7 linked regions of the Xenopus tropicalis genome follow. The protein of the gene in region 2 purifies or fractionates together with the protein of the main gene of each other region. This does not show direct contact. Links are inferred from orthologs where the notes say so. Each region holds a gene or a part of one and is shown on either strand. Other genes may lie near its edges.

Evidence for each region.
Region 1: the proteins of kpna1 (region 2) and alkbh5 purify together in Homo sapiens (co-immunoprecipitation; 3 studies listed by BioGRID and IntAct, with this or other methods). This does not show direct contact. The link is inferred for Xenopus tropicalis from reciprocal best matches to the Homo sapiens genes KPNA1 and ALKBH5.
Region 3: the proteins of kpna1 (region 2) and mta2 purify together in Homo sapiens (co-immunoprecipitation; 3 studies listed by BioGRID and IntAct, with this or other methods). This does not show direct contact. The link is inferred for Xenopus tropicalis from reciprocal best matches to the Homo sapiens genes KPNA1 and MTA2.
Region 4: the proteins of kpna1 (region 2) and phax purify together in Homo sapiens (co-immunoprecipitation; 4 studies listed by BioGRID and IntAct, with this or other methods). This does not show direct contact. The link is inferred for Xenopus tropicalis from reciprocal best matches to the Homo sapiens genes KPNA1 and PHAX.
Region 5: the proteins of kpna1 (region 2) and mau2 purify together in Homo sapiens (affinity purification with mass spectrometry; 3 studies listed by BioGRID and IntAct, with this or other methods). This does not show direct contact. The link is inferred for Xenopus tropicalis from reciprocal best matches to the Homo sapiens genes KPNA1 and MAU2.
Region 6: the proteins of kpna1 (region 2) and c12orf45 purify together in Homo sapiens (co-immunoprecipitation; 3 studies listed by BioGRID and IntAct, with this or other methods). This does not show direct contact. The link is inferred for Xenopus tropicalis from reciprocal best matches to the Homo sapiens genes KPNA1 and NOPCHAP1.
Region 7: the proteins of kpna1 (region 2) and chd3 purify together in Homo sapiens (affinity purification with mass spectrometry; 3 studies listed by BioGRID and IntAct, with this or other methods). This does not show direct contact. The link is inferred for Xenopus tropicalis from reciprocal best matches to the Homo sapiens genes KPNA1 and CHD3.

Annotation. Positions count from the first base shown.
Region 1 is NC_030685.2:16,055,302-16,058,801, forward strand, and holds the end of alkbh5 (RNA demethylase ALKBH5), read right to left. Parts: intron 1,598-3,500; coding exon 1,457-1,597; intron 1,045-1,456; coding exon 858-1,044; 3' UTR 338-857; downstream 1-337.
Region 2 is NC_030678.2:3,401,791-3,405,290, forward strand, and holds part of kpna1 (importin subunit alpha-5), read left to right. Parts: intron 1-357; coding exon 358-536; intron 537-2,677; coding exon 2,678-2,865; 3' UTR 2,866-3,500. UniProt on the Homo sapiens protein: Functions in nuclear protein import as an adapter protein for nuclear receptor KPNB1. Binds specifically and directly to substrates containing either a simple or bipartite NLS motif.
Region 3 is NC_030680.2:36,848,645-36,852,706, forward strand, and holds the start of mta2 (metastasis-associated protein MTA2), read right to left. Parts: upstream 2,801-4,062; 5' UTR 2,682-2,800; coding exon 2,654-2,681; intron 1-2,653. UniProt on the Homo sapiens protein: May function as a transcriptional coregulator. Acts as a component of the histone deacetylase NuRD complex which participates in the remodeling of chromatin.
Region 4 is NC_030677.2:168,318,861-168,322,360, reverse strand, and holds part of phax (phosphorylated adapter RNA export protein), read left to right. Parts: intron 1-2,733; coding exon 2,734-2,854; intron 2,855-3,500. UniProt on the Homo sapiens protein: A phosphoprotein adapter involved in the XPO1-mediated U snRNA export from the nucleus.
Region 5 is NC_030677.2:113,781,220-113,784,719, forward strand, and holds part of mau2 (MAU2 chromatid cohesion factor homolog), read right to left. Parts: intron 3,164-3,500; coding exon 3,060-3,163; intron 2,978-3,059; coding exon 2,900-2,977; intron 1,779-2,899; coding exon 1,713-1,778; intron 1,410-1,712; coding exon 1,326-1,409; intron 1-1,325. UniProt on the Homo sapiens protein: Plays an important role in the loading of the cohesin complex on to DNA. Forms a heterodimeric complex (also known as cohesin loading complex) with NIPBL/SCC2 which mediates the loading of the cohesin complex onto chromatin.
Region 6 is NC_030679.2:50,216,090-50,220,371, reverse strand, and holds the start of c12orf45 (uncharacterized protein C12orf45 homolog), read right to left. Parts: upstream 2,801-4,282; 5' UTR 2,696-2,800; coding exon 2,623-2,695; intron 1,292-2,622; coding exon 1,205-1,291; intron 134-1,204; coding exon 1-133. UniProt on the Homo sapiens protein: Client-loading PAQosome/R2TP complex cofactor that selects NOP58 to promote box C/D small nucleolar ribonucleoprotein (snoRNP) assembly. Acts as a bridge between NOP58 and the R2TP complex via RUVBL1:RUVBL2.
Region 7 is NC_030679.2:146,901,122-146,904,621, forward strand, and holds part of chd3 (chromodomain-helicase-DNA-binding protein 3), read right to left. Parts: intron 2,457-3,500; coding exon 2,307-2,456; intron 2,171-2,306; coding exon 2,062-2,170; intron 1,866-2,061; coding exon 1,733-1,865; intron 742-1,732; coding exon 546-741; intron 1-545.

The sequences.
Region 1 (3,500 bases), on a different chromosome or scaffold from region 2:
TCGGACATGCTCAAACCGCGTGCTGCTTAGAAACGGGCAGAATGGAGTCCGAGGTGAAATTTAAAAAATATTCCCATATGAAAAAAGTGCCACATCCAACTGTGTACACTCGAGGCAGGGAGTGCTTTTTCATATAAAGAACTTGTAGTTTCCCTTTAAAGGATGCAGAAGAGAGTGAGTGACTTGGCCAGCTGTATTCTCAAGTCAGCAATCCATAAACCCCCTGGCACCTTGTCACAACCATACAGCATCTTCCAGCTGGGGGGTGAGGGGGTGTTAAACACACAGAAATCTGCCTAAGCAGAACTGCATCAATAATTATGGGTTGTTCCCCTGATTAGTGATTAGAATGGTTTCTTTTATTTAGGGGGAGGGGGAAACAGAAGAAAGGGGTGAGGGTTGGAGAAACTGTGCTAAACAAAACATTGAAACATCAACCGACTGTTCCACGGGAGTCTTTGTATATTGTACTCCGACGCGCTCTGGTCCCTCATTGCAGCTGCCAAGCAAGCAATGGGGATCCTTACTATACGCCAAGGTGCAGCTTTTAACTCACAGCGCTGACAGACTTCCTGGCAGCCACCGATTCCAACAGTATTCAGGGTAACTTGTGTCCCCCTCCAACAGTATTCATGGTACCCCTTGGCTTTTGCACACCTCCAATTTTTGTTGTGTGATGAGGACAATCAGACCCGGGTGGGGTGGTATAAACACGAGCAGCGGGGAACCATCATTTACAATGCACCCCCATAGCCACGGGGCAATATCAGAGAAACGGTGGAGAGCCGAGTGGGAGAAACAAAAAATCAGAAAGTCTGAAAAAGTCAGAACTTCTTGGGATCAGAAAAGTGGCCGCCTCAGTGTCGTCTCATTTTAACTTTGCGGACTGGGCTGCCGTCGTCTTCTCCCGTTTCTGTATAGGTGTCCACATAATCATGTGACCTTCGCCAATAGTTCTCGGAGCTGAAGTGGCTCCGCCTCCTCTGTTTTGGTAAAAGTACCGACCTTCTGTTCTCCTCTTTATCCATTTCGAGGATGCGAGGTCTGCAGAGAAACACAGCCGATTACAGAAAATGATCCTGCTTTGCCTATTACTTACACCCCCACCACCCCCAAACACAGAACCATGTGGGTAGCTCAACTGGAGCCACCACGACTAAACGTGGCCATACACAGGTCGATTCTAGCTGCTGATATCGGCAGCTTATCGGCCCGTGTATGGGCACTAACAACGGGCCTGCCCGACTGATATCTGGCCTGAAATCAGGCAGATATCGATCGGGCAGGTTTGATTTTTTTTGGGGACCACATCGGCTCGCTGATACGGTCCTCGAACCGAAGGGCGTCTATACTCCTCGTTCTAATTCAATCGTTTGGCCCCGGGTCAAATGATCAAATTAGCCCGATATCGCCAAGCAAGCGGATCTTAGCATGTATGACCACCATAACCCCTTACCTGTGAGCAGCATCTGGGTCAGCCTTGCGATGGGACCGCTTTGGTTTTAGTATATGCTGCCTGTTGCTGCCTTGCAGGCGCTCAGGTTGGTAACTGCTGCTCAGTGATTTCATTTCCAGTCGAGGAGCCTCTGTTCTGGTTCTGTTGGGAGAAAAGGTATAAAGAGAAATATCTCAATAATATATTATATATATGTTAAAAGGACAAAAGATGCATTATTTCTGTGAGTTTATTTAGAAATGCAAGGGGGGGTGCACCCATAAAAATGCCATATACAATGCATACAAATTGCACCAACTGGACTAGTACATGGGGTACAACAGGTGGTAAGTGTTACACCAGTAGGTGCTCTCCAAGGCAATAAAAAGCACACCACTGAAGACACTGTAAATGTCCATCCATATGCCACTTGGGTGCCCCCATCTCTCACAGGTCCAAGTTGCTTCTCTGGCGTCTGCCTTAACATTTTTGCCACAGGTTCTGGGAATAAATGTTACCTTATTGGGTAAAAAAAAACAAAAAAACAAAAAAAACAAAAAAACAACCCACCTGAGCCCTAAACTGTGAACCACATTCTTCAACATCCTTAAAGGGGTTGTTTACCTTTTATACTGGCATATTACTAACAATTTTGCAATTGGTCTTCATTATTTATTCTTTATAGTTTGTGAGTTATTTGCCTTCTTCATCTTTCCAGCTTTCAAACTAGGGAAAAACTACTGCTCTGGGAGGCTATAGTTTTATTGTTATCTTTTATTACTTATCTGCCTAAATAGCTGAAAAACCATTCAGAATAAAAAAAATGAAGACCAATTGCAAATTGTCCCAGAACATCACAATCTACATACCACAAGTATGCTGTAAATGTGAACCACCCCTGTAACCTTTTCAGTGCCATGAGATTATCTGCTCAGCAACAAATGATCCTTACTATTTTAGGAAGCAAAAGGCCCAATACTGTATTGTACACTGTGCTACCCTGGGGCTCACTGTTAAGCCTTGCTGCAAACCAACCCAACCATCACGCATGTGGGACGTGAGTTGAGAAGTACAGGTGTGGGGGCTCTGCTTGCACAGGCGCACACAGAATGAGAAGTACCGAAGCGGAAAGAGAAATTGCTCAGATATGAACTGACTCCATTGTGCTGCAGAAATGAAGCAGGAAAGGAAAAAGGAACAGCCGCAGGGACTGCAATACAAAAGCCGACTGTACATAGGGTGCCAACATGACCATTTCAGTCAGAGCTGGCAGGTATCAGTAAAGGATCAGCATTGTATTTTAGTAGCCGTGACAAGTAGCTGCTACTAGTAGCTCTGTGTGTCTTCACCCTGAGGGGGTAAAGATGCTTGTTTGGGCCAGCAGCTAGCATACAGAGATTAATGGACAGACTTGGAGCCAACAAGAGGAACTTTGCAGACAGATTCTATTCCCCATAGGCAGTACAATTACCCTAATCATGTGGGTAATTATAAATATATGGTGCCTAAGGATTGTTACACTGAAATGTAATACCCATATGGGAGGTCCTAAAGGTCCCCATACACAGGCGGATTCTAGCTGCCGATATGGGTCCCTTAGACTGATTCGGCAGCGAATCGGCCCGTGTAGGGGCACTACCGACAGGCCTGTCCGACCGATATCTAGTTGGATCGGGGACCATCGGCTCGTTGATGCGGTCCCCGGACCGACTTTTCCTGTGCCCTTCATTATAATTCGATTGTTTGGCCCCAGGGCCAAACAATAGAATTATCCTGCTTCCTCCCGATATCGCCCACCCATAGGTGGGGATATCGGGAGAAGATCCACTCACTTGGTGATGACATCGGCCCATGTATCCTAACATCATACTTCCCCTTTAAAGTTTTTCAGCAATGCTAGAACGTTAGCCACGTTTCCTACTGAGACAAAACACAGAAGAGACTAACCCCAGGTCCTTTCGTTTCCCCTCACAGCACATAATGATAGGGAACTGAAACAGCACAGGAGGTATGCAGAAGATTTCAGCGATACCCCCAATTTAAACGCCCCCCCCCCCCACATCTC
Region 2 (3,500 bases):
TTTCAGCTAACCTATTGTTTCTCCTACTCCCATGTAACTGGAGGAGTCCCAAGCCGGACTTGGATTTCTTACTATTGAGTGCTATTCTGATACCTACTGGGAGCTGCTATCTTGCTCCCTTCCCATTGTTCTGCTGATCGGCTGCTGGGGGTGAGGGGGGGGATATCGCTCCAACTTGCAGCGCAGCTGTAAAGTGTGACTGAAGTATATCAGAGCACAGGTCACATGTTTGATTATAGCTGATACAACTACTTTAAGTGGCAGCAAATGACAGAGGTGGATCATTAGGGCCTGAGAGGTGTCCTGTTTGTCTCTGTATAAACATCGCTTAACCCTTGACTGTCTTCTATACCCTAGGTACCTGGTTGATTTAGGTTGCATCAAACCTCTTTGTGACCTCCTGACTTGCATGGATTCCAAGATCGTACAGGTGGCCCTGAATGGCTTAGAAAACATACTGAGGCTGGGCGAGCAAGAGGCAAAGCGGAACGGGACAGGCATTAACCCTTACTGCGCTCTTATTGAAGAAGCATATGGTGAGTGCCAGCATGTGGGCTGCCCCCGGGGCTACACAGCGGGGTATTTATATAAACTATAGTAGGGTTTCTGTAGCAAACACCCCAGCTGTACCGTTGCAGGAATGGCTGCCCCTGGGGCTACACAGCGGGGTATTTATATAAACTATAGTAGGGTTTCTGTAGCAAACACCCCAGCTGTACCAGTGCAGGAATGGCTGCCCCCGGGGCTACACAGCGGGGTATTTATATAAACTATAGTAGGGTTTCTGTAGCAAACACCCCAGCTGTACCGTTGCAGGAATGGCTGCCCCTGGGGCTACACAGCTGGGTATTTATATAAACTATAGTAGGGTTTCTGTAGCAAACACCCCAGCTGTACCAGTGCAGGAATGGCTGCCCCCGGGGCTACACAGCGGGGTATTTATATAAACTATAGTAGGGTTTCTGTAGCAAACACCCCAGCTGTACCAGTGCAGGAACGGCTGCTCCCGGGGCTACACAGCGGGGTATTTATATAAACTATAGTAGGGTTTCTGTAGCAAACACCCCAGCTGTACCAGTGCAGGAACGGCTGCCCCCGGGGCTACACAGCGGGGTATTTATATAAACTATAGTAGGGTTTCTGTAGCAAACACCCCAGCTGTACCAGTGCAGGAACGGCTGCCCCGGGGCTACACAGCGGGGTATTTATATAAACTATAGTAGGGTTTCTATAGCAAACACCCCAGCTGTACCGGTGCAGGAACGGCTGCTCCCGGGGCTACACAGCGGGGTATTTATATAAACTATAGTAGGGTTTCTGTAGCAAACACCCCAGCTGTACCGGTGCAGGAACGGCTGCCCCCGGGGCTACACAGCGGGGTATTTATATAAACTATAGTAGGGTTTCTGTAGCAAACACCCCAGCTGTACCGGTGCAGGAATGGCTGCCCCCGGGGCTACACAGCGGGGTATTTATATAAACTATAGTAGGGTTTCTGTAGCAAACACCCCAGCTGTACCGGTGCAGGAATGGCTGCCCCCGGGGCTACACAGCGGGGTATTTATATAAACTATAGTAGGGTTTCTGTAGCAAGCACCCCAGCTGTACCGGTGCAGGAACGGCTGCCCCCGGGGCTACACAGCGGGGTATTTATATAAACTATAGTAGGGTTTCTGTAGCAAACACCCCAGCTGTACCAGTGCAGGAACGGCTGCCCCCGGGGCTACACAGCGGGGTATTTATATAAACTATAGTAGGGTTTCTGTAGCAAACACCCCAGCTGTACCAGTGCAGGAATGGCTGCCCCCGGGGCTACACAGCGGGGTATTTATATAAACTATAGTAGGGTTTCTGTAGCAAACACCCCAGCTGTACCGGTGCAGGAATGACTGCCCCCGGGGCTACACAGCGGGGTAATTATATAAACTATAGTAGGGTTTCTGTAGCAAACACCCCAGCTGTACCAGTGCAGGAATGGCTGCCCCCGGGGCTACACAGCGGGGTATTTATATAAACTATAGTAGGGTTTCTGTAGCAAACACCCCAGCTGTACCGGTGTAGGAACGGCTGCCCCCGGGGCTACACAGCGGGGTATTTATATAAACTATAGTAGGGTTTCTGTAGCAAACACCCCAGCTGTACCAGTGTAGGAAAGGCTGCCCCCGGGGCTACACAGCGGGGTATTTATATAAACTATAGTAGGGTTTCTGTAGCAAACACCCCAGCTGTACCCCAGTGCAGGGCTGCAGTACATTATATTTTAATTACTTAAAAACACTTTTTTGGTGTAACTGTTTCTTTAACATCCCACAGAGGGGCCCATAGGGAAAGCTCGCCCCCTTGTGGCTCTAAGTCAGACAGTTTCCCACTCCTGCTTTGTTACACCCTCTCTGTTGATTGGCATTAGAATTCTTTATTCCTCTTTCCTTGGCCCATAGATATGACTGCAGCGGGACAGCCATTTCTGTCAGGCCCCCAACCCCGCTCCCTTTCCTAACCAAGGGCAAGATCAGCCTAAGAGCATAAAGTACAATAAAGCAGAATCCTCTCCTATTTGGGCTAGGGGCTCTCGTTTCACCCTGTTAGTATTACCAGCTGTGGGGTTCTAGCCCGACCAGCTCCCCCATGATGTTCCGTGCTCACTGACCCACCTATGTTCTATCCCTGCCTGTTCTAGGACTGGACAAGATCGAGTTCCTACAGAGCCATGAAAACCAGGAGATCTACCAGAAGGCGTTCGACCTGATCGAGCACTACTTCGGCACCGAGGACGAGGACAGCAGCATTGCCCCCCAGGTGGACCTCAGCCAGCAGCAGTTCATCTTCCAGCAACGAGAAGCTCCCATGGAGGGTTTCCAGCTCTAACCCCCCCCCCCCCCCCCCCGCGCTGGGCTCCGCGTGCTGCAGTGCGAGTGCCCCCCAGAGCGCTCACTCACTGTTTGCTGTGTTCAAGCTCTCGCTCACTCCCGCCCCCCCTACACTTCTCTATTTATTCAGCCACCTTTTATTTCCCCCTCTCCTTCTCTTTCTGCCTCTTTTTTTCTTGCTTCCACCTAGTTTTTATTTTTTCTCTTTCTCCCCCCCCCCCCCCCCCCCCTCGTTGCTACGTGACAGACCCAGCCGGATGCTGTCAGCGGATTGGGACTGCTTGCCCTGGTCCTAGAGGTTCCACGCCGTGCCTCATTCAGCACCACTACAGTTCTGGTGTCGGCCCTCCTGCTGTGCTTTTGACATATCTTCATTTCATATGACTCGAGTATTAGAAGTATACAGGAACTCCACGGGCAGAGCCGCGTCCGCGGAGAAGGACGGAAACGAAATGGACGAGACGTTAATACTGACACGAGAATATCACTGTCCCGAGGCCACTACGACGCGCGACTGTACCGCTCGATATCTGCTTCATGGGAAACTACAAGCCAAACTGGGAGAGAGCTTTGTTCCAGCCTGGGAACCGGCATTAATATTTAGCTATAAAACCGCAAATCCCAAACACGAAA
Region 3 (4,062 bases), on a different chromosome or scaffold from region 2:
ACATACTAAAAGTCAACTTGAAGGTGAATCACCTATTTAAAGGAACAGTAACCCTAAAAAATTAAAGAGCTTTAAGGTAATAAAAATATAATGCACTGTTGCCCTGCACTGGTAAAACTGGTGTGTTTGCTACAGTAACACTACTATAATTTATATAATAAGCTGCTGTGTAGCCACGGGGGCAGCCATTCAAGCTGGAAAAAAGGAGAAAAGGCACAGGTTACATAGCAGATAACAGCAGATAACAAATAAAACACTATTGTATTCTACAGAGCTTATCTGTTATCTGCAATGTAACCTGTGCCTTTTCTCCTTTGAATGGCTGCCCCCATGGCTACACAGCTGCTTATTTATATAAATTATAGTAGACTTTCTGAAGTAAACACACAACTTTTACCAGTGCAGGGCAGCAGCACATTATATTTTAGTTACTTTTATACACTTTCATTTTTTGGTGTTACTGTTCCTTTAAGCTAGCCCACATCTATTAATCAATCGGCAAGTAGTGTTTACTGGCCAGCTCTTTAAAAACAAACATCTAATTAGTTGCTATGAGGCCCGCACTGGCGATCTGTGGAGTCTGGCAAATGCCAGAGGGGCTGCTGTAAGATGCCATAGACCGTTACTATTTTTTGGGTGGGCTACTAAAAAAAAAAAATGTAACTATAGGGACTTAACATATGTTAACATAGGTACTTTGAGCAGGCAAATTTCTTTACTGTCCTGAAACATATAAAACATATTTCAGTAGGCATCACATATAAGCTTAACATACTGCTTCCTATGAATCCAATACACCTTTGTTATTATTATACTGCAGTTTAATTCCACGTTACAAAAACATGTAGGCTTATTAAAGGAGACGGTGGTGTAGAATGAAAAGGCTGGACTTTTGTTTTTAGTTCAGCTTTTCAGGGCTGTGGAGTCGGTAGATAAATTCTCCGACTCCTCAGTTTCTGATACTTCCGACTCCGACTCCTCTGTTTTTAACATGTTAATGTATTTTATACATTCATACAGTCAATGAAAAACATGCTTCATGGTCACTCAACGTGTTTGTTTATGCACTGCGTGCATTGGGCTTTATTCTTATAGCAGAGAAGTAATTAATTATGACTGTTTGTGAATTGGGACATTTAAACTTGCTTTATTTTTTTTTTATTCCCATTTAAATTTAGTAGGAGTCGGTTCATTTTTTGCCGACTGACTCCAGGTACCCAAAATTGCCTCCGACTCCTCGACTCCACAGCCCTGCAGCTTTTCACTTTACTGCGCTTGCACTCCCAGCTTAAAAAGCAAAGAGGAAGAGAATTGCCCTGTGGTGCCACTACAAAAATACCCCAGTCCAGTGCAGTTTTCAGCAAATGGGAGAAATGGCCCTGGGTACCAGGCAACTAACTGTAATCACTGTGGGAAGGGGGGGTGCTTGAACTTCCCTTCTTTTTAACCGACACCTGATGAAATTCATCCACTTGTGTGAATGCAATCTATCACATTAGACTGTAAGCTTTACTGGCACCACAACTGATACAAAGGATAAATGATCAGACTACATTAATAAGAAGGCTCTTTCACAGATTATGGAATGTTAATAAAGGTTAGTTAAGAAAATAAATTGTAAATACCCACAAATTTCTTATGCAAACAAAAAAATGTAAAAAATCCTATATAAATATGTATAAACAAGTGTAAAGAAAATTAACACTTGGGGATAAAAAAGTTGTGTAAATACCAGCTTTGATTGTGTTCAAGATAGACAGGTTATAGTTATATGCTGCAGGATAATGAGAGTTCAACATGTCCTTGGGCAGCCATGGCCCAGAAACAGTGGATTACAGTCAGGTCAAGATTGACAATCAAAAGTGGCCCTGGCTTTTCAAGTAGACAGAGGCCCAAAAAGCCCAATAAATATTGACTGCCTATAGAATCTACCTGCAGCCCCTCTGGCATTTGCCAGATTCCATAGATTGGCAGTACAGTCCTGGTTACAGGGTCATCTACCTGATAAGCAATTTGGCACAGAAGCCCTCTGAGCAAGATCAGCAGGGGTTATTCTCATGGAAGCTCCCTGTCTTACACACACAAGCAGTGACAGACAGACAGACCTCACAGAAGCCAGTGCACAAAGTCAGGGCAGTTTCCATTGATCAATATTATGAACAGTGACAAACAGGCAGGGTACATAAGGGGTGGTCCTAACAGCCCCGGCCACTAAACTAGGCTGAGTGTGATTGAGTCAGGTAAAGAGTAACCGGGCTAGTTTAATACTGCAGAAACAGCACAGCAGCATTTTAGTATTTAGGTTACATACTGACATTTGTGTGTGTGTGTGTGTGTATGTATATAAATATATATATTTATGATCTATGTGTGCATATATATATATATATATATTATGTGTGTATTATATATTTTCTGCATTAGACTAAAGACACACAATGCACAGAAATAAGATAAAGATAATCATTCTACATTTCTGCATGTAAATAAAAAGCGTTTACTTTAATTCAGCATTCGGTGCTCGCTACTCTGTACAGATGATGTATGGGTATAGACTCTCCCTCTACAGCGGATAAAGTGTGTGTTTAACTACATAGTATAAAGCTCTACAGATATGCTTTCGGCTCAGAATGATTTTACTGTGAGTTCTCACCTCCCACCCGGTACATATTAGCCGCCATCTTGCTCTCTCCCGCGCACAATAACTCGGGAATCTGCGCGCGTTTCCGGGGCCTGTGGGGGGAGAGGAAGGGGAAGAAAGAGGGGCAACTTCCGGCATAAAGAAGCGAGCAGCCTTCCGGGGGAGGGACAAAGCGTTCGATTGAAAGAATTATATCCGGACATAAACGAGTGCTTCCGGAATCAACTGATGACTTCCGAAGAGGGAGACGGGAAAACCCGAACTTCTCCGAAGTAAACGACGCACAAAGGCTGCAGTCAGTAGAACGCGCTCGGAAGGAGGAAGTAGTTGTGGACGCATTAAAGTGATGTGCGGCAGAGTTGGTCTGCTAGTATCCCTTACTTTTAATAACTGGTAAAATGCTGGTTTAGTGAGTAACGACATACACGTCCCTATGGTTTAAGTTTACTCTATCTGAGCTTTATGGAATATAATATACAAATCGTTCTGTAATATGCGGTGTATTATATATATATATATATATATATATATATATATATATATGTGTGTGTGTAATATATATTACACAAAATGTGTGAATAATTCAATAAAGGTGCTGCTCAGTAATGTCATCATTTATAATTGGTGCTTATTGATTGAAAGGCTCTTGCTATTACAGGATGTAACAAATCACATGATGCCTGATTTTAAAGGAGAACTAAACCCCCTAGGTAGAAAAGCCCCACTCAACTGACCTCCATCTGCCTCCTCACCTTTCCTACCCTGCATAGTCTATTTAATAACAAAGTGTCCCTATCTGAACAACTGAAATAAAAATGCAGCACAGCGCAGATTGCAGGCTCCATCTTCACTCCCTTCGATCTTCTTTGTGTCTCTCCGCCAACACTGACCCTGCAGGAGTATGTAGAGTTGTGATTCCGCACTAGATTCAACTGTGCATGCTCCTGCTTGCTCCATGTTTCATAAATGAAATACTGCATTCTGTGATTTTGTCCTTGTAAGGGGTGAGTATAATTGTTTGAAATCAGCCGTGTATAAGTTGGCAAAGGAAGGGGCTACATTAGAGCCCATACTTGTATCACTAACTTATTGGTAGTATAAAAGTTCAAATTTAAAATAATAATTGGAGAGACAGCATTCCAGTAATTCCATAAGAAATTCATTACATGGCCATGTACTGTCTAGATGGGCAATCGGATGTTGGCGGATTGTTTGGATACCCAAGTATGTAGGGATCACTATATAAAGAACGTCTATAGCAAGTTTACTGTTGAGAGATAAAGGCAATGCTGTTTTAACTTTGGTTAAAAAGTCCCCAGTGTCCTTATTCTAGATATCCCTTGTAGTTTTGGTTAAAGAAAGTCCATATAGATAGCTATTGGTTGTAAAATAGACTTTATAGCACTTACTATGGGACGGCC
Region 4 (3,500 bases), on a different chromosome or scaffold from region 2:
AGTGGTGCAGCTAACAGGCTAGAAGTATTGGGGATCCGCTGGGGTGTGGTTCAGAAGGGCGGCTTTCTGGACTGGCCCTCCTTAAAAATTCAGCAGGCTGGGGTACATTACTTGTGATACTGCCATTTGCTAATGCATCCAGCTTTAATAGGTGCAGGGGGTGCCTGGTACATGAATGAAAATAGTGACGTGGAACTTGCAAGTTAGTACACTAGTGATTCTAGATAAGTCCAGCTTTATTGTTATCTCATCTGCATAAAAATATTTTTTGGCCCAAACCGTAACACACAGTACACACTACCTTTCCTCCTTTAATGTAAATGTAAGCTACTACCACACCTCTATAAGTAGGTATTTAATTTACACCAAAATAAATATGCTCATCACAATATATTCTTTTGTTTTTACACCATGTATCACTTTAAACTTATATTTATGGTAATGTCCCAAGCACTGCTTGTACTATGATGCATATACATCAAGATCCATTCTTTTGTATGACTGGTGCAATCCATTTGTACCAATTTTGGAGCATAAAAAGCTGAACACAAACCAAGGCAAAATGTTTAACTCACTTTCTGCTAAGCGGATGTGTTGATTTTCCAGTGGCCACATGGGGACAGCATTTATTTTCCCTGTAATTACTCTTTCCCAGTCAAGCAGATTTACACATGCATTATCTTGTAAAGAGTAATTGACCAACTCTAAGACAGATGGGTTGATTAGTCGCTGCGATTTTTAAAATCAATAAAAAGCATTATTCAATAAATATTTTGCTTGTATTTTGAGGCATGATATAGGGCAGGCAGTTCAAACGCAAATGCCGCAGGCTGCGAAAATGTGAACGTCATACTGAGTGAGGGCATCATAAATTCTTTGCCTTCAGACTCACAAAAGAAGAAATTCTGATGTTTAATAAGCAATTTTCCAAAATGTGAAATAACTGTAGAAGTAGAGCTTACAATTTATGGCAATGTTGACAGTAGGCTTAAGAGCCACAAATAGGGGTCTCAGTCTGACATGTTTTGCATAGGGTGATATGTGATGGTCAGTGTCATGGCAATTCAGAGATTACATTTTGTGTCCCTGTTCTCTAAATACAGTTGTAGAAAACAAGGCACTGGTTGTGGTTTGTGTTCGAAACAGGTGCAAGCCTTTGGTCATTCATAAGTCAGGGGATAAGATTTATGAATGGTTAGTGTAAGAAAGCTAACCTGTATTCATTGGGACAGATGCTCCAGAATTACTGTGTGCTCCTTGCCAAAGCCCCACTAAGTAACCTGAGCCTGCAGATAGTGACCCCCAGTTGTCAGACTGCAGTGCACAGCACAGACCCCTATATTAAATTCACAGGCTTCTTTTATATGTTCAGTGCACAGAATAATTTATTAAATTGCATTTTTATTTACAAATGATAATGTTAAACATATTGCTCAGTTGCTGTAAATGTAATGCAGTGTAAATGTTCCCATATTTATAACGTGTCATAAAGGTCTGTACAATACTCTTATAAGGACATAAAATATCTAAACATAATTTTGCGAGAAATGTCCCCAGGACAGAAAGTTATGGCACTTGCAGAAGATTTATGCAGACATTCATGATTTTTTAATAATCTCTATTGTGCCCTAAGAACACAGCTTGCCATACACTTTTACAGGGAGATTTACTAGTAATTTAACTATGTAAAATGTCACTACTAAGTCTGCTTTCTCTAAGATATTTCCTAGCATTATGTCTGCCAGGCGTCTGTGGGAGACATCAAAATGAGATAAAATGCCTCATGTGCCACTGTATGACATTTGGCACCCATGACTAGCTTAAGGAGATACCAACACCTGAAATGTAAGGTTTTTGTTTTTTTTTAAATATAACATTGTCTTTGCATGAGCTTTATTATTTTGCCTTTACATAACCTATCTGTTCCCCCATGTTCCTTTATGAGGGGGTGCCATATTTGTTCAGCAGTAGGAGTCTGTTAGCATTAGAAGCTATAACTGACAGGCTGAGAAGGGACAGTCAGGTTGGCAAAACACTCAGGTTTAGGAACTTCAATTAATAATTAATAATCAATTAAATAAAATATTTAACAGTGACAGTCACCAATGTCAATTAACTTATAAGATTTAGGGGATGGGTTGTTTCCTCCTTATTCCTGCCTGCAGACAGCAGTGAAAGCAACTACTTATTGCTTATTTTATAACTACATGTATGGGACCTGTTATCCAGAATGTTCAGGTAAGGTATCTTACTGTAAATTGGATCTCTGCTAAAAATCATTTAAACATGAAATAAACCCAACAGGATTGTTTTGCCTCCAATATAGATTCATGCAATTTAGTTACCATTAAGTACAAGGTACTGTTTTATTACAGAGAAAAAGGAAATCCTTTTTAAAAATATGAATTATTTTATTATAATGCACTATAAGAGATGGCCTTTCTGTAATTTGGAGCTTTCTGGATAATGGGTTTCTTTAGAATGGATCCCATAGCTGTGCCTTAATCTGCTGCTATAATATAAGGCTGTTCGAAAACTGCATTAACTGATCATGAGCAGTAGATGGAGCACATAACGTAATAAGCCTGTTGGTTCAGTAATGTTAGCAGATTACGCAGTTTGCTTTTATATACATAAAAGCAAGAGGGTATATATTACTTAATTCAGTTTTTCATGCACATTATGAACATGACACTCTTGCTAAGAAGTTCTCATTTTTTCTATGTCCTGCAGACTCCGAGAGCCAAAGAAGGATTTAATAGAGCGGGTTGTAAAAACTCTTGGAACCAAGAAAGCTATTGAGTTGCTTATGGAAACTGCAGAAGTGGAACATAATGGTGGACTCTTTATTCTGGTAAGGAAAAACGACATGCGATTATTTGTGGAATGCATTTTATGGGAAACATTGCTCCTTTCAAAACTGCATCAAAAAATGTTTTGTAAACCTCTTCCAATATGAGTATTAAAGTATGAGATCTGCCATTTTTTATTTCTTTTATTTAGATTTAAACAAGCCTTAATAGTGTTTTTCTCAGTGACATTAACTGTTCCAATTTCAGACTGCTGGTCTCCCTATCAACTAAAGAAAAATCTTCAGCACACCACTTACATACATGTTCTCAATGTTGTCAATTCACATAATTGAATGGCTGCTTGGGACTGTTTGATACTGCAGCCGTGATGGGGTTAATTGGTCACATGCTAGTGTCACATGGTCTGTTAAGGTATTTAGTGAGTAAATTGTTCACTTGTGTGTATTGCACCTGAAGAAGGGGTCACCCCCGAAAGCTTGTGCTGTTTTGCTCATTTCTGCAAATAAATGATTTAAAGGCATTGCCGACACAACTGGTGTGCTTCTTTCCCTTTGCAAAGCTCCCTATCAACTAAACAGGAAATCTTTGATCACTTTTCAATACAAAGACACTCTGCTAAGCATTTGGATCTAAAAAGCACCAGTGTCATCATTTCCTGTTTAACTTAATTTGGAGACAACAGGAGCA
Region 5 (3,500 bases), on a different chromosome or scaffold from region 2:
GATGAAGCTGCAGCTCAACTTTTTCCTTCTGGATGGTGCAGTTTTCTCCTAAACGAAAATAACCTAGATCAACCCCCAGAAACACTGCACAATGGGCCTGATTTACTAAAGTGCGATTTAACGTGCGCTATTTATAGCGTGCGTTAAAATTTTTACCGCATCTTAATTTTGGCGATTTTTCGCACGATTCACTATAAGCATACTCGCGCTTTTTTACGCGCGATATTGCATGCGTTATTTAACTTGCGAAGACTATTTCAATGCGGTATTTGCTGGTACATGTGCTAAATTACGCCCGCGAATAGTCACCGCATATGAATGGTAGCTTAGAAATAGTGTATAAAAATTGTCGCCGCATATAAATGGTGTATATAAATATTAGCCACATATAAATGGTAGCATATAAATGGTATCATATAAATAGTAGATGCTTATAAATAGTAGCCACTAGTGATGAGCAAATGTGTTCTGGTTATCTTTAGTGAAAATTAGCAAATCTTTCGAAAGATCCACGAAACAGCAAAAATGTTGTGCGGGCACTCTAGGGGAAACACATACTTGAATAAATAACACTGTAAGTCCATATTTTATTGCAAAAAATCATTTACTGTACTTTTGTATAATTTTTCGCCTGCCTGTAGTAGGTGTTAATTTTCGCATAGCCGAATGCGATATTTAGCGCGCAAAAGTTATAGTGAATCATGCGATCGTATTCTTTTCAGCACGGAAATGAACGTATGCGGTAAAACTAGCGCGAGAAATACCGCATGCGAAAATGCGACTTATCGCATGCGGTAATGCTGTAGTGAATCGCGTCTTTTTTTCCACAAAAAAGCGTGCAATAAACTTTAGTGAATCAGGCCCAATGTGGCTTACTGGCCCAATAAAAAAAATGTTTATCACTTAATTATCTTAATTATGCTTTTGTCCTTTTTTTCTATTTACGTGAAGTTTGTTTTGATGTGGCCAATAAAAAGCACTTAGGGCAGTAGCACACGGGGAGATTACTCACCCGTGATAAATCTTCACTATTGCGGGCAACTAATCTCCCCGACATGCCAACCCACCCGCAAGAATGTAAATCGCCGGTGGGATGGTATACGCATTGCTTCGGTTGCCCGAAGTTGCCTTGCAAGGAAACTTCAGGTGACTTTGGAAAACCGAAGCAACGCGTAATGACTGAAACATACATACTGGTACATGCACATAGGAAATGAACTGGGGATGCAAGAGAATGGCAGATTTGAATGGACTCTATTGTGTCTTTTGGTTAGTGATTTTTCTTGGCGTGTTAAAAATTAAGAAAAATATATCAGTCAGCTTACCTCCTGGTGCCTGTTTCCCTCTCTGATGTAAACACTTGCTAAATTTGTCACTATAAACGTCCACAACTCCTGGTGCGTTGTGAGCTGGGGAGATCAATGTCAAAAATAATTTATAAAGTTAACCGCACAAAAATTCTGCGTACAAGTACAACAGTAGTAAAGGTTTTAAGATTAGGCAGAATTAAGTATTTTTTCACATGAATATCTCCCTATATAAGAAAAGGCTAATGGCAATACAGAAGAAAACAAGTTTGATAGCAATATATGAACTGCATTGCATGCTTTGTAGGGTTGTCAGGAATATCCTTATAAGGGCTTGTCTTGATTTTATAGGAGGCTGTCAGTTTGGATCATTACAATGTAAAAACCTAGGGCAAACATACTTACCCTTAGTGCTGTTGTGAACTGTGCTTCTGCATTATCCATGCAATTTACAGAGATACAGTATAAGCCCTAGGACATAAATACAATTAGAAAAAATAAAGTGTGGGAGCATTTTAATTTAAAAGCTGGCAAAACAAATATTGTCATATGTTACAGTATATTAGTGTTTAGCACACATATTAAGGTAGATAAATCGCCACTTATTGATACAGCTCAAGTACACAGGTTCGATGGGGTTTAATGCTAGGTAGTCTCAAGCCAGCTCTCCACATGCCTCATATGTTAGTGTAATTAATGGAAGCATAAGACTGACTAAAGTTTAGCCAGTAAAGAAGGCAGGGGCCTTAGGTTGTAGCCAGTGAGCTACAAATCACTTTTTTAGCATAAAATAAGAGTTTGATAAAGTATTCTGGTATGTTTATAAAAAACTAGATCGCTTATTACACACCAAGGGGGAGATTTATTAAGACACGAACGCTCCGAGCGTATTTTCAGCGTTTTTTTCGCGCTTGCTCGACTTTTCGTACACCCGCGCAACTTTTTCGTACGCTTGCATGAAAAATTAGGATTAGAAGGTTCTGTCACTGTTTACAATTGTTCGGTACGAAAATTTTGTGACTTTCGGATCGCCAATTCGATATTATCATGACTAATAAGCTTTTTCCGTAAGCATTTTCGTGATATTTGCGATCTTCAGAAATTATCGTATCCAATCCGAATTTTTCGAACTCGTGTTTTAATGAATTGGCCCCCTAATTAGCACACTTAAGGAGAGATGACTTGAGGTAATGCTAGGTTGTCACTAAGACATTAAACCACTGTTCACCAGAACTTCTCGATTAATGGGCATACCCACAAACCACAGAAAATCAGCAGTGAGGTGATAACAGAGGGGACAAGCAGAGGATTTACTTGGAAAAACCCTGTGTTATTTATCAGCTGAGTAATAGTAGAGAGAATTTTAAAGTTGATTAATCTATCTTGTGTTATAATAAGGAAGTTTTACACAAATCTGTGGCTTCCTCCCAGATATTCTTCAAAATAGTCAGTATAATTGCCTGCCACTTATGGTGTGCAAGATCGAATGGGGAAGGCACCATACTTTAAATATTTAAAACACCATAAGCACTCTCCATTGGAAAAAAAAAAGTAGAACCAGTGATGTGGCTCCATAACTATTTATTACTTACCAGTAATGTGTGGAGTTGAGCTGCATGGTTAGAGAACAGACGTGGAGACTGCTGGCAGAGCTGGCATACCTGGGATATCTGAGAAATAAAGACAGATGTAAAATGAAAAAGATTTCACAGGCATCTGCAAAATTCTCTATTACCAGTTTAACATCTCTACCTCTTGTAAAGCTGTGGCTTTGTGTCCTGTCACAAGACGACACATGATTATATGTTCCAAAAGGATGACTTGGAAAGAAGATAGGATAGGACTGCTATCCAGCACTGAGAAGAAAAAATATTGGTTAATTTAGTATTCCAATGGTACACAGGGCATTGTGTCAACATAGCTGAAAATTCACTACAAAATTCCCCAATGCATGGGAGTTAAAAAAAAACAAAAAACCCCATCTAATTAAACATTAAAACCAACAGAAAAAGCTGCTTAGAATAGGTCCATCTTAAATACTGTTAATTTTAAGAATGAAAGTCTGACCTGGTTCCTCAGTTAGAAGTTAATCCTTTCCTTTGCTTCCTTGTGCAGAGTGAAGGCCTGCCCCCACTTCCTGTTCAGTTCTCTCTTCAATTCGACTACTCTAGTCAACCTGGAGAGCCTTCTGGG
Region 6 (4,282 bases), on a different chromosome or scaffold from region 2:
TCAATTATCTTCTCTTCCTTCTCATCCACGTGTTCAATGTCAAAAGTGCCAACTGGAGAAGATTCTATTTCCTTACTAAGACTTTCATTGGCCTTAGCCAGCTGAGGTAGGAAGTTCTGTACTCTGTCCAGAACTGAAAAGTAAGCAGCAACATCTGTAACCCTTACAGAGTAACATCTGGTTGTAAGAATACTAAGCATTATAAATCCAATGAATTAATGGAGTAATCTAGTGCCTGGCCAGCAGTACTGGATTAGACTTTGAAATGAGTCTACCCAGTCCTCAGACACCCTTAACAGTATAGGGAGATAGAGTAAACATCATGAAATAACAATTCTTCCTTTGCCAGCCCCTGACCAACAAATATAAAATTGTGCCATATAAGAAATGAGACTTAAAAACTATCTGCAACTGAACAAGTCAGTACTGTGAATGAGGCCTTAAGTGCTGCAAATTAAAACAAAATGTTCAGGTCTTTACAGCAGAACATGTTGTAATCATGATTTAACCATTTGAGCTGAATCTATTATAAATCCATTCATTCAGGCTGCCAGTATAACGCAGACCAACCACTCTTGACCAAGACAGCAGCTTTTTGGCCTACGTATGGAACCAAAATGATGGCTTTCCCTATCTAGTTGAACCTCCTGTTTGCCAAGGACCAGGATGTAATAACCCACCTATGTGAATGAATACCAGGCCAAACAAGGGGATCAGCCTGATTAGGCCCACAACCTAGAGAGGATATTATATATGAGAACATGGACATACCTTTTCTAAGTGCAATAGACAGCTTAACTGTTTCAGGTATACAGTTAATGCCCTGAAAACTGACCCCTGGCACTGCATTAGACATGAAATAACTGCACATATTGGCCCCATAATTGCTAGATGTAGCATAGAGCTTCAATAAATATTAAATAGTACAACAACCCTATTAAACTAAGAGCAAGCATTTGCCAATTTCTATAAGCTAAACATTCAGATTGTAATGTCCTTTTAACCATTATTATTTGTTTTTTTACCAGTGTAAACAGATTTTTATACATACTTGCAACAAAAGTTGTGTGTTTATTGAAAGGGGCAGAGAACTAATGTTTTAGTCTTTGTCTAAGTGTGCGCATATATATAATTAATATTATGCATATACTGGTAGGCACTGGCAATTCTATATATCTAAAGAAACAATCTGAATGTTACTTACTGCTGCTTCTAGGCATTCTGGTGATTGGTGAATTGGATCCTTGTTTATTGCTGTATTTCGGATTTATCAGAAGCTGATTGTAAAAGCCTAAACAAAAGGGAACAAACTATTACAACTATGAACTCGAAAAAAATAAATGCATATCCAACACTTTTCCACTAACAGAATGCTACCTGTAGTAATACATTGCAACATACAACTCTGGGCAGAAGAAAACTGCAATGCATTCTCTTTGATATCTAATATTTCCATTGGTTTACCATTTTTGAAGCATTAAATCCGTGGTGCCCAGAAAATGAAAAGTAGAAGTATTGCATCAGGATGTATTACACTGAAGTGTGACATTGCCAGTTTGCCATGGAAACTGCTACTTTTGATCTAATGGTACTGCTTTTGGACAGTACAAGGCTGCTGTATTGTACGGGTCACTAGCTGCATATCAGGCACCCCTGCTATAAGTTCTGGTATACAAACACTGAACCTACTTGCCTGATTGTCCCCATTATATTCATTGTTAAAACCTGGTTCTACTAAAATGATTATGTTGTACAAAATCTGAGCCCTTGAACAGCCTGGGTTTACTGCTATACAACCCTGGTATAGGGCTACTGTTACACAGTTAAGAAAAGGGTTTTCATTAAATGTTTCTCTCATACAAAGAAATAGACATATGTAACCAGAATTCTTATCACGGACTGATGCATATTTGATAGCATTCAACAAATTTCTACAAAGTGTTAAATACATTTATATATTTTTTATTTATATTTTAATACCGCATTTTTATTTTATCAATTAGAGAAACATAATTACTGTCAAATATAGATAATCACCCTGAATACTTTCTTTGTATCTACACTGTAGGTAGGTAGTGGTATAACCAATCATAAAAAAGCCATGTCCTGGAAATACATTATAGGTTACCCGTGAATACCGTCAGATAGGAAATACATGTACAGATGTATGTATGTATGTATGTATGTATATCTTTATTTATAAAGTGCTACTTATGTACGCAGTGCTGTACAGTAGAATCTTTATCAGACAGACATTTCCCATCCTGTACGATTAAATAAATGATTGATCGCCATACTATGAAAACTGTCAGTATGATATTTCCAAGCACATACACGGTCCAAAAATCATTCAAAAAGTTTTGTATGATATCGGTGCATGTATGGCCTGCTTAACCCATGGGTTTTCATCCAAATTAAAATAGTTCCATGCGTAGCAAGACATATTGAGAAGTCCTCAAAGCACAGCAAAAGACAAGGTATGATCTGCAGTTCCTGTTTTCTAAGATCTGCCCTACTACCAACACGTTAAAATGCAGACGTGACAATTAGCAACTCCCTGCAAGCAGTACATTTGGAAGGAAAGGCTACTTTTAACGCAGTTTTTGAGGCTGCCACCGTTACCTCCGCCACCACCGATATTAAGAAGCTCCTTTGAGTGCCCCTCCTCGACATTTCTACCCTCCGCTTTCTCCATCTACACGAGGAGAGGGTTCTAACAGCGTCCAACCGATCCAAGACAAACCTCAAGGCTTCCAGACCCACAATACTGACGTCACTGTGTAAACTCTCGACGCCCATTTTAGTTATTGGCAATTATCGTTAGGTTGAATAAATATGTTCCTGAATCTATAGATTTTAATATACGATATGCATCCTCCGTAATACCAATAACAATCGGTGCTGTTTATCGCAACTACGTGGTTGCATTTTTTCTGTGTTACATTTATGGTCAAATATTGCCAGTTTCTAGTATGGGTACCGGAAATACAATCAATCGCTTACTTTGGGTTACTACTTCCTACAAATGACTGCTGAACTGTATTGCAATTACTAGAGGAAAACTTGTTTAGGCGCCCTCTACTGGACATAATAGCAACACGTGCTGCAGACTTTTATACAGTAAATATTGACATATCGCTTGTTACCATTTCTGTGACTAATCTCCAATTAGAGAGCCTAGTTTAGTGTATAATTCTCGCCTACGTTGCTATTATTATATGACATGGGCGAAAGACAGCCTGGCCATTTCAGCTCGATTACATTTTGGCACTTGCAAGCATTACATTTATCCCTTATTTTGCCGGAAGGACGAATAACAGAAATGCCCCGCCCACCTGGGATGATAATTTGACTAAGGCGTGGGTAGGGGGCTTGACGTCAGGCCACATCAGCATTTGTGCCAGGCCTACTGGAGTGAGTTTGGCGCTTGCGCAGTAATTGCAGACGCTCCGCTGCTTAGAGACCGGGCAGAGAGGGATGAGAATATCGAGGGAAGCAACGCTATGGCTGGGGTATGCCCCTACTTGGGCAGGTAGGTGGGGAGGTTTCATTTATTGTGCGAGAGTCCTATGCGGGCTCTTCATTTTGTGTTTGGAGGGTGAGTTTTGTCACCTGTCTTCTGGCTGAGTTGTCCCGGTCCCGGGTGGGGGACCTGTGTATTAATTACATCATAGGCAACGTCATCCATGAGTAGAGAGAACCGTGACATCTGCTTGGTGTTGGGGTTAAGGAAGTCCTGCTGTGGGGGAATGAAAACAAATCCGTAGGGTTGAATACCGCCTGACTAACAGGGGAAACATTGTCAGCTCCAGGAAACAGCGTATTGTGGGGCTCTGTCCTTAGGAAATACATGATGTCTGATAGATACAGAGGCGAGGGAAACTACTTCTCTAGCGATGTTCTACTTATCCTTAAGGCAAAAGCTAGGGCCACACCTGTTGGTGATAGGGTAATGACAGCTAACTGGACAGAATAGTACTGCTTTAGGGAGCAGGTGTTTTTAAGGAAAAGGCATTCAGTTTGGTAAGGATACACGTCTCTAAATGACAGTGGCATAACTAGATGTTACTGCCCCACAGCAAATTTAATTTAGGGTCACAAAAAGCCAAGTTAACCTATAATATCAATATATATTAAAATGATTCATTAAAGGAGAAGGAAAGATAAAAAACATTCTGGGGTGCCCCAAATGTTAGGCACCCCCAGTGACTTTAATCGCTTACCTTTTACCCTGGGCTGGTGCCCCTTTTGGGAGAAAACCACACCTGCCCGGGTGCAGCTG
Region 7 (3,500 bases), on a different chromosome or scaffold from region 2:
GAATCCTAATTTGCATATGCAAAAGAATTGATTTTAATTAATTGGTTCGACCTTCAGGCACTCGGATTCGGCAGAATCCTGCTGAAAAAAGGCCGAATCCTGGCCGAACCTGCAGTTATTTTCAATTGGCACTAGGGGGAGCTCCCTTTCCTTCAATGGGGATACACAGACAACAAGGTTGAGGAGACCGCCTCATACGTATGCAAATAAACACAAGGAATTCTGGGAACTAATCCCAGCAGGTTTAGCCTACAGGATAAACCCATGTATATGGGATTTTCTTTGGAATTAGTTTCCAGAATCCCTTGTGTTTACTTGAATGGGGGATCAAGACCTTGCTTCGCGATTGTGGTTGAACTATAACACGGAGAGTCCAGATAAAATAAATAACGGAAAGTGTAATTCTCTGCTCTGTTGGTTGTGGCCACATATACCAATGAAACAACGTTGCTACAGTCTTTTGTTTCCGCGGAACATGTAGCCAGAACCAACAGTATCTGTGCCCCATTAAGCATATTTGCCCCTAACAGTCTCCCCTCGGGTACCTTTATGAAGCACGGCATTGGCTGGCTTGTTCCCCGCTAAGGACTCCTTGGAGAGGTGCTGGTGACTCTCGGCGAGACATTCCACCTCGGAGAAGCGAGCGTTAAGGGCCATGGCTGGGTGAGAGGGGTCCTGGGTCATGTTGAGATAGGCTGCCCTCCGTAGCTGCTCCTCAATCACTAAGGCCTGCTCCAGCAGCTAAGGAACGAGCAACAGAGACAGGTCACGCCAAGCTGCCCCTTTACTTAACCCGATTAGGGTTAAAGTAACTGATACATGGGTGGGATTACACAGTTGAGTGGGCAGGACAAATGCAGATAGATGGGAGGGACAAACATAAGGGCAGAGCAAACAGATACATGGGTGGGATTACAGTTGGGTGGGTGGGGCAAATTGATACATGGGTGGGATTACACAGTTGAGTGGGTGGGACAAACTCAGATAGATGGGAGGGACAAACATAAACAATGACATCAACACAAGGTGAGTGGGTGGGGCAAACTGATACATGGGTGGGGTTACAAAATTGAGTGGGTGGGACAAACTGATACATGGGTGGGAATACAAAGTTGAGTGGGAGGTACAAACATAAGCAGGCGAGACCAACTCAAAGGTGAGTGGGTGGGGCAAATGGATACATAAATGGGATTACAGTTGAGTGAGTGGGACAAATGCAGATAGATGGGAGGGACAAACATAAGCAGGAGAGACCAACACAAAGGTGAGTGGGCAGAGCAAATGGATACATGGGTGGGATTACAGTTTAATGGGTGTGACAAACTCAAAAAGATGGGAGGGACAAACAGCAAACTGACACGAGTGGGATTACACAGTTGAGTGGGTGGGACAAATTTAGATAGATGGGAGGGACAAACATAAGCAGATGACATCTACACAAGGTGAGTGGGTGGGGCAAACTGATACATGGGTGGGATTACAGTTGAGTGGGTGGGACAAACAGATAGATGGGAGGGACAAACATAAGGGCAGAGCAAACTGATACATGGCTGGGATTACACAGTTGAGTGGGTGGGACAAACTCAGATAGATGGGAGGGGCAAACATAAGCAGATGACATCAACACAAGGTGAGTGGGTGGGGCAAAGATAGACAGATGAGACCAACACAAGGTGAGTTGTTGGGGGAACGGCGCAGGTGAATAATAAAAAGTGGAAAGGCGGAGCCAGACCTTGAATCGCCGAGCAAGAAATTTGTTCTTCATCTCCAGGAAATTTCCCTTGTTGGCCTCCGATTTAAAGGGTTCATTGATGATGGCGAATGGGGAATCGTTCTGAATGTCTTGCCAGCGAGCGTAGCCATGTCTGTGAGAGGGTTAAGCAAATGAAACAGACACTGCCCTAGTAGAGACACAGCCTATAGGACTACAGAAACTGTTCACAGTCGCCCCTGGGGACGGAGCACGGAACCCTCCACCCATGCAAAGCAACGTAAAGATCGAAAGGCGTTTGAGTACAAAGGGCAGTAATTGAACATTGTGATTGGTGCAGGGAAGGATACACCACAATGCCGGCCAATAACCAGTAATCGTGCCGGCGATGCCAGATGTCATTCAGCCTGCCGGAGCAGATGGCCGCTCTCTCCTCATTCTGCCACAGGGTATGGAGTTCTGCAGGCAACAGGATGGAAAATCATTACCTGAGGGGTCCCATGTAGCACCCCAAGCAGATTTGAGGGGCATCACCGCTTACACACAACCGATATGTGCGAAGGTATGTCTGGTCTGCCCCACTGGCTTTCCTTACCTGTGAACCCACCATCTGCGATGTTAAACATAAATCTTGGTCTTTCTGGTCTGTTCTCTTCTTTCCTCCCATTGCTGCTCTTCACTTCTTCCTTCTGAATGTTCATTTTGGTGTCCTTCACAGCTTCTCTCTCTGGCTTCACCTCCTCTGCTGGCCAAGGAAATAATCATTATATAGGGTTCATCTGAAATGTGCTCCATACACACAGATAGGAGCTGTGAGTCTGCCCCTCCCCCTGCAGGGTGACACAGACAGAAGGAGCCGTGAGTCTGCCCCTCCCCCTGCAGGGTGACACAGTGACACAGACAGAAGGAGCTGTGAGTCTGCCCCTCCCCCTGCAGGGTGACACAGTGACACAGACAGAAGGAGCCGTGAGTCTGCCCCTCCCCCTGCAGGGTGACACAGTGACACAGACAGAAGGAGCCGTCAGTCTGCACCTCCCCCTGCAGGGTGACACAGACAGAAGGAGCTGTGAGTCTGCCCCTCCCCCTGCAGGGTGACACAGACAGAAGGAGCCGTGAGCCTGCCCCTCCCCCTGCAGGGTGGCACAGTGACACAGACAGAAGGAGCTGAGTCTGCCCCTCCCCCTGCAGGGTGACACAGTGACACAGACAGAAGGAGCTGTGAGTCTGCCCCTCCCCCTGCAGGGTGACACAGTGACACAGACAGAAGGAGCTGTGAGTCTGCCCCTCCCCCTGCAGGGTGACACAGTGACACAGACAGAAGGAGCTGTGAGTCTGCCCCTCCCCCTGCAGGGTGACACAGTGACACAGACAGAAGGAGCCGTGAGTCTGCCCCTCCCCCTGCAGGGTGACACAGTGACACAGACAGAAGGAGCTGTGAGTCTGCCCCTCCCCCTGCAGGGTGACACAGTGACACAGACAGAAGGAGCTGTGAGTCTGCCCCTCCCCCTGCAGGGTGACACAGTGACACAGACAGAAGGAGCTGTGAGTCTGCCCCTCCCCCTGCAGGGTGACACAGTGACACAGACAGAAGGAGCTGTGAGTCTGCCCCTCCCCCTGCAGGGTGACACAGTGACACAGACAGAAGGAGCCGTGAGTCTGCCCCTCCCCCTGCAGGGTGACACAGTGACACAGACAGAAGGAGCTGTGAGTCTGCCCCTCCCCCTGCAGGGTGACACAGACAGAAGGAGCCGTGAGCCTGCCCCTCCCCCTGCAGGGTGACACAGTGACA